Linked DNA regions of Drosophila melanogaster. The protein of the gene in region 1 purifies or fractionates together with the protein of each later gene. This does not show direct contact. Each region holds a gene or a part of one and is shown in the gene's direction. Other genes may lie near its edges.

Region 1 (3,836 bases):
TACCGCCTACTCCCCTATCTATATATATATATTTATATATATATATATATATATATATATATATATATATATATATATATATATATATATATATATATACTTTCGTGGTCTGCACTTTGCTGCCTGTGTTCATATATATCTTTCCGATTTTTAAACACTTAAGCGCGCATTTCCCGAGCGGTGGGCAAATGGGATGCGAGATGTGGGAGCTGGGAGTTGGGGCAGCCCTTTGTTTACGCAACAAAATCATGTAACTAAGATAGAGAGCATATAAATTGCGTTAGACATACACAACAAAACAATTGCATTAACGTTTCGATTTAACAATGTAAGTAATGGCCCTGCGGAGGAAAGTTACACAACGCTAGCTAATAAACTATAGCTATAATATGAAATTTGTTTATAAGTAATACCAAACCGTAAAATAAAAAAGGAAAATGCAAAAAAAAAACTTAAATTCTAAATGCGCCAAGAGATAATGAATGGGTAAAAATATGAATATACATTAATATAAACTATATCTTATGAGAACACGTAAACATGTAAACCCCACAGCGATCGGCTGGCTAAGAACTAACAAATCAAAGAAATGCAAAACACAAATCGGATCACTGAACGCAGAAGCCACTAAAACTTAAATAAAAGTACATTACGTGATATTTCTTACAAATTGTTTTGTTTTCTAATCGGTTTGTTTCAGTCATTTTACTTTTATTTTTCGAACACAACTCCATTCGAAGCGCACGCCTTGCAAACGACCAACCTTGTAAACACGACCATATAGCGCATTCAGATTAGGGGATCCGCGACCGTGGAGAAGCCCCAATCCTCCTCCCCAAACCGAGAATTGAGAACCTAGTGATGAGTGTACATAAGAATAATATCCGAACCCCAAAAGTATAAAATTAAAATATATACATATGTGTGATTTTCCTCCTAGCATACAGAGTACTAAACCTAAACCATTAGCATTTTATTGATAGAAAAGAAACGAAATCGAAGCCCGACAAACTGATTCATAGCGATTATGAGCCACTAGAAATGGAGAACTAAATGATCTTGTATGAGCGAGCAGTCCATTCAGCATAAGCGAAATAGAGAAACTAACAAATTGAGAACATAGTAATTTCGAAGGTTTTGTATAATTAACTGTATATGTATATTGAGAATAGAATTTTGAACTAATAACTAATTATACTAATTGGATCGAGTTCGAGTGTATCATGGGCGATATGAGAGAAAATCATTAAAAATAAACCACCAGTGATATGGAATACAAAATAACCACAAACGAAATCGAAATCGAAATCGAAGCGGTTCATGAAACATTTCAAAAGTACGTTGGATCGGAATTCGACGGATGTATCGATAAGTGCACGATAAGGCCACATTTATGTAATTAGCAAGTATTTCGAATTAAACCGAACATGGAATATGTATGTGTGAACAGAATAAAAGCAGCTACTAAATAAGCCACACCACCATTCACAATAACAATTACGAACGAGGCATTAAAAAGCTTAAACAATAATAACACGACTCATCAGATTTGCTTATTGTGTTGTCAAACAGAAGTTGGGGGAAATTGTGGAGCTAAATTCCACCGTAAATGAAGGTTTCTTAAGTGAAGGATTTGAATATTCGATAATCTGGCAACGCCAATATACAAAAACAACCAGCCCTGGTCGAACAATCTGGCTACTCTACCGGTCAGCTGTTTTGCGTCTTTTTCGTGCTTGCGCTTTAAGGTCACTCTGAGCACGTCTTATTTTTGTTGGGTTGGCCCTGTAGTTTTTCACCGAAAAGGGTAAGGCCGAAATAAACAGATCGAAGCGATGCATGAGCTTGCGAAGACTTGACACCGATTAACCAATTGCCGATATTCCAGGTTTTGCTCCACGAACAGCAGCTAGAGGAACTTCAAAGATGGGAGCCCGACAGTCTCAATCCCGCGAGCCCCGAACCGTTTCAATGGAAAACCCAACTCCTGCCGGCGTTATTGATATATCCGACGATGTGGTCAAGCGACTGAAGGCGGGAATATCCCAGCAGGGTAAGCAATCCAATGGCATTGTGGAGTTATATCCGGAAATGACCATTTCACTCTGCTCGGTGTTATGCAACAATTGTCAAAACGGGCAAATGTTTACGCCAAACACAGTGGAAACTCGTTAACGAGAACAGCAGCAAGTTGTAGAGAGTGGCTCTTCTATCTTGTTCACAAAAAAAAAACGCACTTGAAAGGGTGTAGTTTTGGTTTCATTGGCTAGTTTCCATTCCTATTTGTATGTTTTTTTCATTAAACTATTGATTTATATCTTGTCCAATTCAGCTCGTGAGCACGCAGCCGCTGCGGAGGAATCGAAACCAGTGCCCAAGCCAACGACGAAGGCTGCCGCCAAGCCAGCCGCATCCTCGCCAGCTGCTTCTCCTGCTCCGAAAGTATCCTCCTATCCCGCTGCAGTGCCCATTTACGTCCAGGGAGGAGGACACACCATTAGCGCGGCCGATGTGCAGCGCCAGATGAACCAGGAGCTAATCAAGAATGACGAGCTGTGGAAGGAGCGCATGGCGAAGCTGGAGGAGAACCTCAAGAAGACCAACACCATCCTGGAGAAGGAGTACGCCAATGCTGTAGAAAATGTGCACAAGCGATTCGTCAGCACCGCGTCGTCGCACAAAGTGCCTCCCTGCCAGGACCTGAAATCCCAGCTGCTTGCCTGCTACCGCGCGCATCCCGGGGAGACCTTGAAGTGCATTGAGGAGGTGGCCCAATTCCGACAGTGCATCGATCTTCATCGCGTCCAGAAGCTGGATGCGGAACCAGAGTCGTCGAAAGTGACCTCCAAGGCCACCGTTCCTGCCAAGGCGGCCTAGGATCCTGGCAAATCCTTTTGTCCTAATTTGTTGACTTTTCTTTGAGGCCCCTTATGGGTTTTGTATAAACGATTGAGCGATCGATGGGGATGTACTCAAAACTTAAGCAAAAGTGTCATTGCGAGCGATAGTAAACTAACTTAAATGAATCAATCCATCGACGTTTTTATGGCCGGGATATTCTATTCAAGTTTACCATGACAAAAATAAAAAACATTGCATATTTTTCAGTGTATCTATTTGTTAAGTTGCAACGATCACTCCTCCATCTCGCTCACTCTCTCATTCAACGAAGCCATCCGTACGTCTATAAACTTTAATAACAATTAATATATTTAAAACAACATTAATTACAGCCCGCGACCGCGCAAAATAGCCGCAGTGGCAGCAGTCAAAATGGGGATCAAGGAGGCTCCCACAACAGTGGCGCCATTTCTCTTTGGATTGGGTTTGTCCAGCGGCCTATCCTTTTGCCCATCCTTGTGATCCTCACAGGAGTCATCGAAGTCCTTGGCAGGACCCAAACAGCCCGCGTAGCTCATCACATAGGCCAAGTAGTTCTGCTCGAAGACCCCGCGAATCAAACTGGAACCAGGTCCATATGCAAAGACAGCCACATCCTCGCCGCCGTGCGTTTCGTCCTTTCTGGGAACCGTCGCCAAGTGGCGATAAGTGGGAGCAGCCCGCTCCTCAGCGGTAAAATGCTTCAGGGGCATCCACATGTTGGAGCTGTTCTGAGGTCTGGAGTCATTCGCCAAGTGATCCCAATAGCCAGGACCTGAAAACATTCAAAGTTTGTTTTACCAGAAAATTCTGATAATGCTAAGGTCTAGCTTACCATTGGCATACGAGATGGTCTCGTAGAACATGGGATCGTTTTTCTCGTGTGAATTAGCTGTCCCCAGGATATCAGCTCCACGGAGCGCGTAACCATTAAAGGTGACCGCGTGGGAATGGTC
Region 2 (5,810 bases), 9.0 Mb from region 1:
CAACCGACCAAAAAAAAATTCCACAGAAAATCGATTGGGAGGTTGAGCTGGTCTGTGTCATTGGCAAGGTCGCCCGCCAGGTGCCCAAATCGCAGGCCATGGACTATGTCTTCGGGTATTCGGTGGCCCAGGATATCTCCGCCCGCGACTGGCAGAAGGAACGCAACGGTGGTCAGTTCCTTATGGGCAAGTCGATGGACACTTTTCTGCCGCTGGGACCGGCTGTGGTGCACAAGAGTCTGGTGCCGGATGTTTACAACTTGAATCTGAAAACCTGGGTCAACGGCGTGGAGAAGCAGAACGGCAATACCGGCAACTTGATCTTCAAGCTGGACGATGTGATCAATCGTCTGTCGCAGACCATTACCCTGCTGCCCGGCGACATCATAGTCACCGGAACGCCCAAGGGCGTGGGCATGCATCGCACTCCGCCGGAATTCCTTCAGCCCGGTGATGTCGTGCAGTCGGAGATTGTTGGATTGGGCAAGCTGTGCAACAAGATTGTGGCTCCCTAAGATTGTCAACTCATTTGGCTTGTTGTGTTTGTAAAGTTTGTGTTATTAGTGAAACAATGGCATTTAATAGATGATTTTGTAGTTTTCAATAGATAAACTATAATCAGATATTTTGGTTTTGTTTAATTCAAGTATGTAGTATCTTTGATTAGCCAGGTCACACCTTAAAGGTCTTTGACTGTGTGGCGTAGTACTCGTTGCGGCTGTGATAGGGCTTATAGGGATCGTTGATGAAATGCTTTGGGCGCCGCCAATAGCTGGTGACCATCTTGTCCAGCAGCCAGCTCTGCGTGGCATTGGTGAAGACGTGCTGCTTGAGGCGGCGTCGTAAAGCTGCGGATTTCTTGAAGAGCTTCTTTTGGCGACCGGAATGGGTGCGTATCCAGGCGCCCCAGTCCAGGCGCTTAAAACGTTTCAGTACCGCCTTGACGGTCTTTCGTTTACCCTTCACCAGCGAGAATTTGGTCACGTTGCGTGTGTTTGATGGTGTTCCTGTGGCTGCTAGCACACCCGGCAGCTGCAGGAGCTGGTGATGAGCAGGAGATGCCAGTGATGGCGTGGGCAACAGGCACGGACGGGATAGAGTCATCAAAGTGGCACGTTGTGTCCGCTGGACCAGAGGAACCAACGAAGATGCAGCCGGCGACTGGCGGCAAACGCTTCGCAGCGCTGAAAGTTAAGAACAATTAAAGTAACGTAAACTTGTAAGCCCTATTAGCTGACTTCAACTTACCGCTTGTCACAAAAGTTCTTAGCATTTCACTTAAAACGACAAAGATAAACCTATAATTCCATACAAAACGCAGGTGCTCTTCTTCTTATCGAATCGCGTAACAGTCAGCTGTGTGCCATTCACAGCGAACAAACATAGATTAGCTTGCTATTGGAGATGGGAACCGGTCATCATAAGAACTATCGCAAATGTTTTGGGATTCACCCAAGGAATGGATCAAGTTCAATTTTTCGTTGATAACAATTAAGGCAAAAGGATCCCTTAACCATGTAATCCATTTGTAGAACACTGACAATTCTGACAATTTAAAACTTGTTATAAAAATTGTTGCTTAAACTTATGCGCCCATCTCCAAATCAAATGTATTTTGACTGGCCTATCGAGTACATGCGTATATGTTGCCGACACTTTTTCCATCAAAACACAAACCAAAATTGAGTGATCAAATTCGAGTGGCGCGGGCAAGCGAAACGAAAAGGACGACGAGCAGCACGCAGGACTCGTGTGCGTGTGCGTGGGAGTGTGGGGAATGGAAGAGGAAGCAGCAGCACTGGCCAGCCATTCACCCACCAGCGCTGACGCAGTCGAGCCAGCTTCGAACGAATTGGGCAATATTTAATTCACGCCGCCGGGACTTGAAATTTACGGTAGCCGAAGGAGCAGGAGCACGAGCAGAGCAGGATCACAGCAAAATCAACACCATGTATCGGCTAGCGGTGCGAGATCAGTGCAAGTGCGCCCTGCAGGTGAATTTTTGACCCATTCATTTCTAGCTATTTGATAACGTGAAAATCGATCGTCACGTTGCCCCACACCCCCGCGCGCCCACAAACAAGCGGTTGGCGAAAATACAACAAGAGGCGCTGGTTATGTCATCTACCAAGCCCAGGAATTGGGCGAAAAGCTCCAAAATTCCAGTTGACCAAGGGCGCGGGGGTATCAACGGGCTTGCCAATTTCCTTAAATGTGATGGTCCTAAATGTATTACCTTTCATTGCAACAGCGTACGCTGCAGCAGACGACCGCAAACAACAGGCAATTCGGCGGAAGCAGCAGCGGAAGTGGCGGCCGGGAACAGGGCAGGCGGCAGCAGGAGGAGCAGGGACAGCAAGGCGATCAAGGATATCAAGGATACCAGAGCCTGCCACCGCATATGCGCGAAGCTGGCTTCGGCAAAGTGGTCCTCTTCGTCTCACCACTGGCAGCTGTCGGCGGTGTCATCACCTACGCCAAGTAAATAGAGCCACAATAGAGGTTTAAGATAAGGATAGGCAGTCCACCTGTAGATCAACAAAAATTCGTACACATTTTATTGCACCTGAAATGCTTAAATGAACCATCGAATAATGTAGAAATCCTTTTCCAGATACGACGACGACTTCCGCAAATTGGTGGAGAAGAATGTACCCGGCGCAGGATCCGTCATCAAGGTGGCTCTGCAGGAGGAACCGCCATTCAAGGGCATCACCAAGAACGTCAACGATCAGATCGATAAGGTCAAGTCTGGCATCGAGACAGTGACGTCCACGGTGGACTCCGTTACATCTAAGGTGACGGGCCTGTTTGGCGGCGGCAGCGGCGATGACAAGTCCAAGAAGTCCAAAGTGGAGCCCGTGAAGGCCACTCCTGCTGAGGAAAAGAGACCCTCAAAACCAAGCGAAGTCAGCAAGACTGAAGCGAAGCCAGTGTCGAAGCCAGCAGCAGCAGCAGCGCCTGCGCCCGCTGCCAAGCCTAAGGATAATCCGCTGCCCCGCGATGTTGTTGAGCTGGAGAAAGCCATCGAGCTGTCTGCTCAACTGGCCGTCAAGGAGTACAACGTCGCTATTGGCGTTTTGAAAGGGTGAGCAATTCTCGTTAACTATTCGTTGCGTGATTTTAAATTTAATCAAATATCGTTCAGCTTTAATGACGATGTCCGTAAGGTTGTAGACAAGGCCGTAGAGAATGGAGAGAACTCTCTTTGGACCACGCTGAAAAATCGAGCAAGTGCCCGTGATACGGCAGTGGCTACGGCAGAGCGAGCTGCCCGTGAGGCTCAGGAGAAGATTGGTAAGTCCATTGTTTGTTAAATAGATTCCAAATTTCAGTAACATTCCCTTCTATCAACTGCAGTCGCCTGCGAGATCGCCCTGAGTGCTGCGGCAACGGCCCAAAACGCAAAGAAAGTAGAGGCAGTGCGCGACAAGATCAAGAAGCTTGTGGACCACATTGGCAACGTAAAGGACGAGCTTTACCGGCACAAGGACACGGCCAGCGTGTCAGACAAGTACTGGCGGAATGTGGAGAAGGCGCGAAACTACTTCATTGACGAGATCGAGTCTATCTTCCCCGGCCTCAGTTTGGCGGATAAGAAACTTAATCTGTCAAAGGAGGACCTAGACTTGTTCATCCTGCACGCCTACACCCATGTCCTGGCCTACCAGAAGGAGCTGCAGCGCTTGCAAACCGATGGTGAGCTGCGCCTGAAGAGAGCTATTGACTCGGTTCGCGGTGACAACGATTCGGAGGCTTTGCGCGCCCAACTGGAATACCATTTGGAGGCCGAGCGGCGCAAACTGGCCGTGGAAAATCAAAAGAAAATCTTCCACATCCACGCCGAGTCTGATAAGCTGCTGCGCTTGCAGCTCAAAAAGCAAGCAGAGGCCCACGCCGATCATATAAAGGACATCGTGGCGCAGCGGGAGACCGATCTGACGCGAAGCTTTAAGCGTGAACTTGAGGATAAGCTGGCGACCGAAAAGGCCAACTATAAGTTACAATTGGCCGGGATGCTCGGCAAGCTGCGCGGAATGGACGCGGCTCTGGCAGGTAAGTTATACGTTTTAAACGATATCGGTTGAATGTAGCTAGTGTAGCGTGGCTAGATATATAATGGTTTTCAAACCTTTTCAAAACATGCTGCTATATTAGAGATAGAGGATGAGTTTCAAGGTATATTCACCCTATATGAAGGGTAGTACTTATACCAACTTATTCTTGGTTTAATCAAAATGTTTATTGACATTATATGCAACATTTTTGCAGAGCGTGCGGATGCAGAGCGTACTGCCAATCAGGCGCAGGCCCTTTGGGCCGCCTGCCAAGCTCTGTGGGCCTCCGTGCGCGCTGCCACTCCTGGCGTGCACTATAAGGATAGGTTGCGCCCGTTAAAGAACGAGATCAATGCCATTGCCAAGGTGGCTAGTAAGTTGAAACGTTTCCCACATTTCGATTTCAGTTGCTAAATGCATATGCTTACAGAGGGTGACGACCTGGTGGCCGCTGTGCTGGAAAGCGTCCCGAAGGAGGCTCAGGAGCGCGGTGTCTATCCAGAAGATGCATTGCGCGAGCGTTTCCTGAATGTGGAGCGCGTGGCGCGACGATTGGCTTTGGTGCCCGAGGAAGGAGCCGGCCTGCCCATCTACTTCCTGTCCTATCTGCAATCGCTGTTCATCTTGCGACCCGATAATCCCATATCCAAGGACGAACTCGAGAACAAACCCTTCGACTATAGCAAACTGGACACCTACGATATCCTAAACAGGGCCAGGTGAGGCGATTGATTCATCTATCACTAGAGTTATATAATATATATTATATATATTATGTTTCACAGGTACCATGTGGATCGCAGCGACTTTCTGCAGGCGCTCAAGTACATGAATCTGCTGCAGGGTGCATCGCGCAAGATTGCCGGCGAGTGGATGAAGGAGGCTCGCCTCATGCTGGAGACTCAGCAGGCGGCCAACACCTTGATGGCTCACGCCGCTGCCAGCGGACTATTGTATTTGTAGACTACGTCCCGTGTCCCCTTCCTTCAGAAACAAGATGATACACTTACTATTTGTTATTAGTCCAGGAGAAGATGGTACGATTACCAACAATATGTAATTTGTCCAATTAGCGATCACAGTTGAAACGAAATAGCACTTATATACATATATTTGTAACATTTTGTTTAGCTTCAATTATACAAATTAAACATAGAAACCATCATTATAAAATCCAAAACATAAATACTCTGGGAAGATTTGTAAAAAATTCGATACCAAGGCATGAATGGAATATGATATATTACTAAAGCTGAAATTGGCAAGCTTTGTGTTTCTGAAGAACAATGTGATTAGGCCATAAATAAACATAAAGAACATCCACTTGTTGTTTAATTTAGCGAAAAAAATTAATATAATAAATAAGTTGACTAAAAAGTATGCTGAATGTCAAAATTCAAATAAAATGCATTGGCTAAATTTAATTTCTCTGTTCTGAAAAGAAAGCATGGTAGGCAAGGCAAATGTATTCAAAAACAGGTTACTATGCGGTTGCCGCCAAATTTATTCCTTAAATAATCGTATATGTTCGTTACTAATTTTCGAACGCCAAAATCGCGATAGTTGGTCGTTAGCCAGCACTGGACGCGCCAGTTTCGTGGGCGGCTATCGCCAGCCCTGGTAGTCAGAGGCAATCAGCTGGTTTGCGTGGTCGATTTGGTCCTATTGAAATTTTTCGGTTTGGCACCGGAGCAAAAATCACATCGCAATCAAAAATTTCGCGTGGCCAAAGGACACACTTTTGAGTTTGGA

What was found.
Region 2: the proteins of Chchd3 (region 1) and Mitofilin purify together in Drosophila melanogaster (affinity purification with mass spectrometry, with the first as the bait; one large-scale study listed by BioGRID). This does not show direct contact.

What each region holds. Positions count from the first base shown.
Region 1 is NT_033777.3:31,051,804-31,055,639, reverse strand, and holds Chchd3 (Coiled-coil-helix-coiled-coil-helix domain containing 3), read left to right. Parts: upstream 1-1,724; 5' UTR 1,725-1,807; intron 1,808-1,888; 5' UTR 1,889-1,926; coding exon 1,927-2,053; intron 2,054-2,332; coding exon 2,333-2,877; 3' UTR 2,878-3,024; downstream 3,025-3,836. Other genes in the region: Alp4 (alkaline phosphatase 4), read right to left, coding at 3,228-3,655, 3,716-3,836.
Region 2 is NT_033777.3:22,019,071-22,024,880, reverse strand, and holds Mitofilin (mitofilin), read left to right. Parts: upstream 1-1,806; 5' UTR 1,807-1,949; coding exon 1,950-1,994; intron 1,995-2,251; coding exon 2,252-2,481; intron 2,482-2,614; coding exon 2,615-3,088; intron 3,089-3,148; coding exon 3,149-3,297; intron 3,298-3,360; coding exon 3,361-4,056; intron 4,057-4,158; coding exon 4,159-4,179; intron 4,180-4,272; coding exon 4,273-4,431; intron 4,432-4,488; coding exon 4,489-4,777; intron 4,778-4,843; coding exon 4,844-5,021; 3' UTR 5,022-5,148; downstream 5,149-5,810. Other genes in the region: CG6028 (uncharacterized protein), read left to right, coding at 27-515; mRpL35 (mitochondrial ribosomal protein L35), read right to left, coding at 673-1,184, 1,249-1,273. UniProt on the Drosophila melanogaster protein: Component of the MICOS complex, a large protein complex of the mitochondrial inner membrane that plays crucial roles in the maintenance of crista junctions, inner membrane architecture, and formation of contact sites to the outer membrane.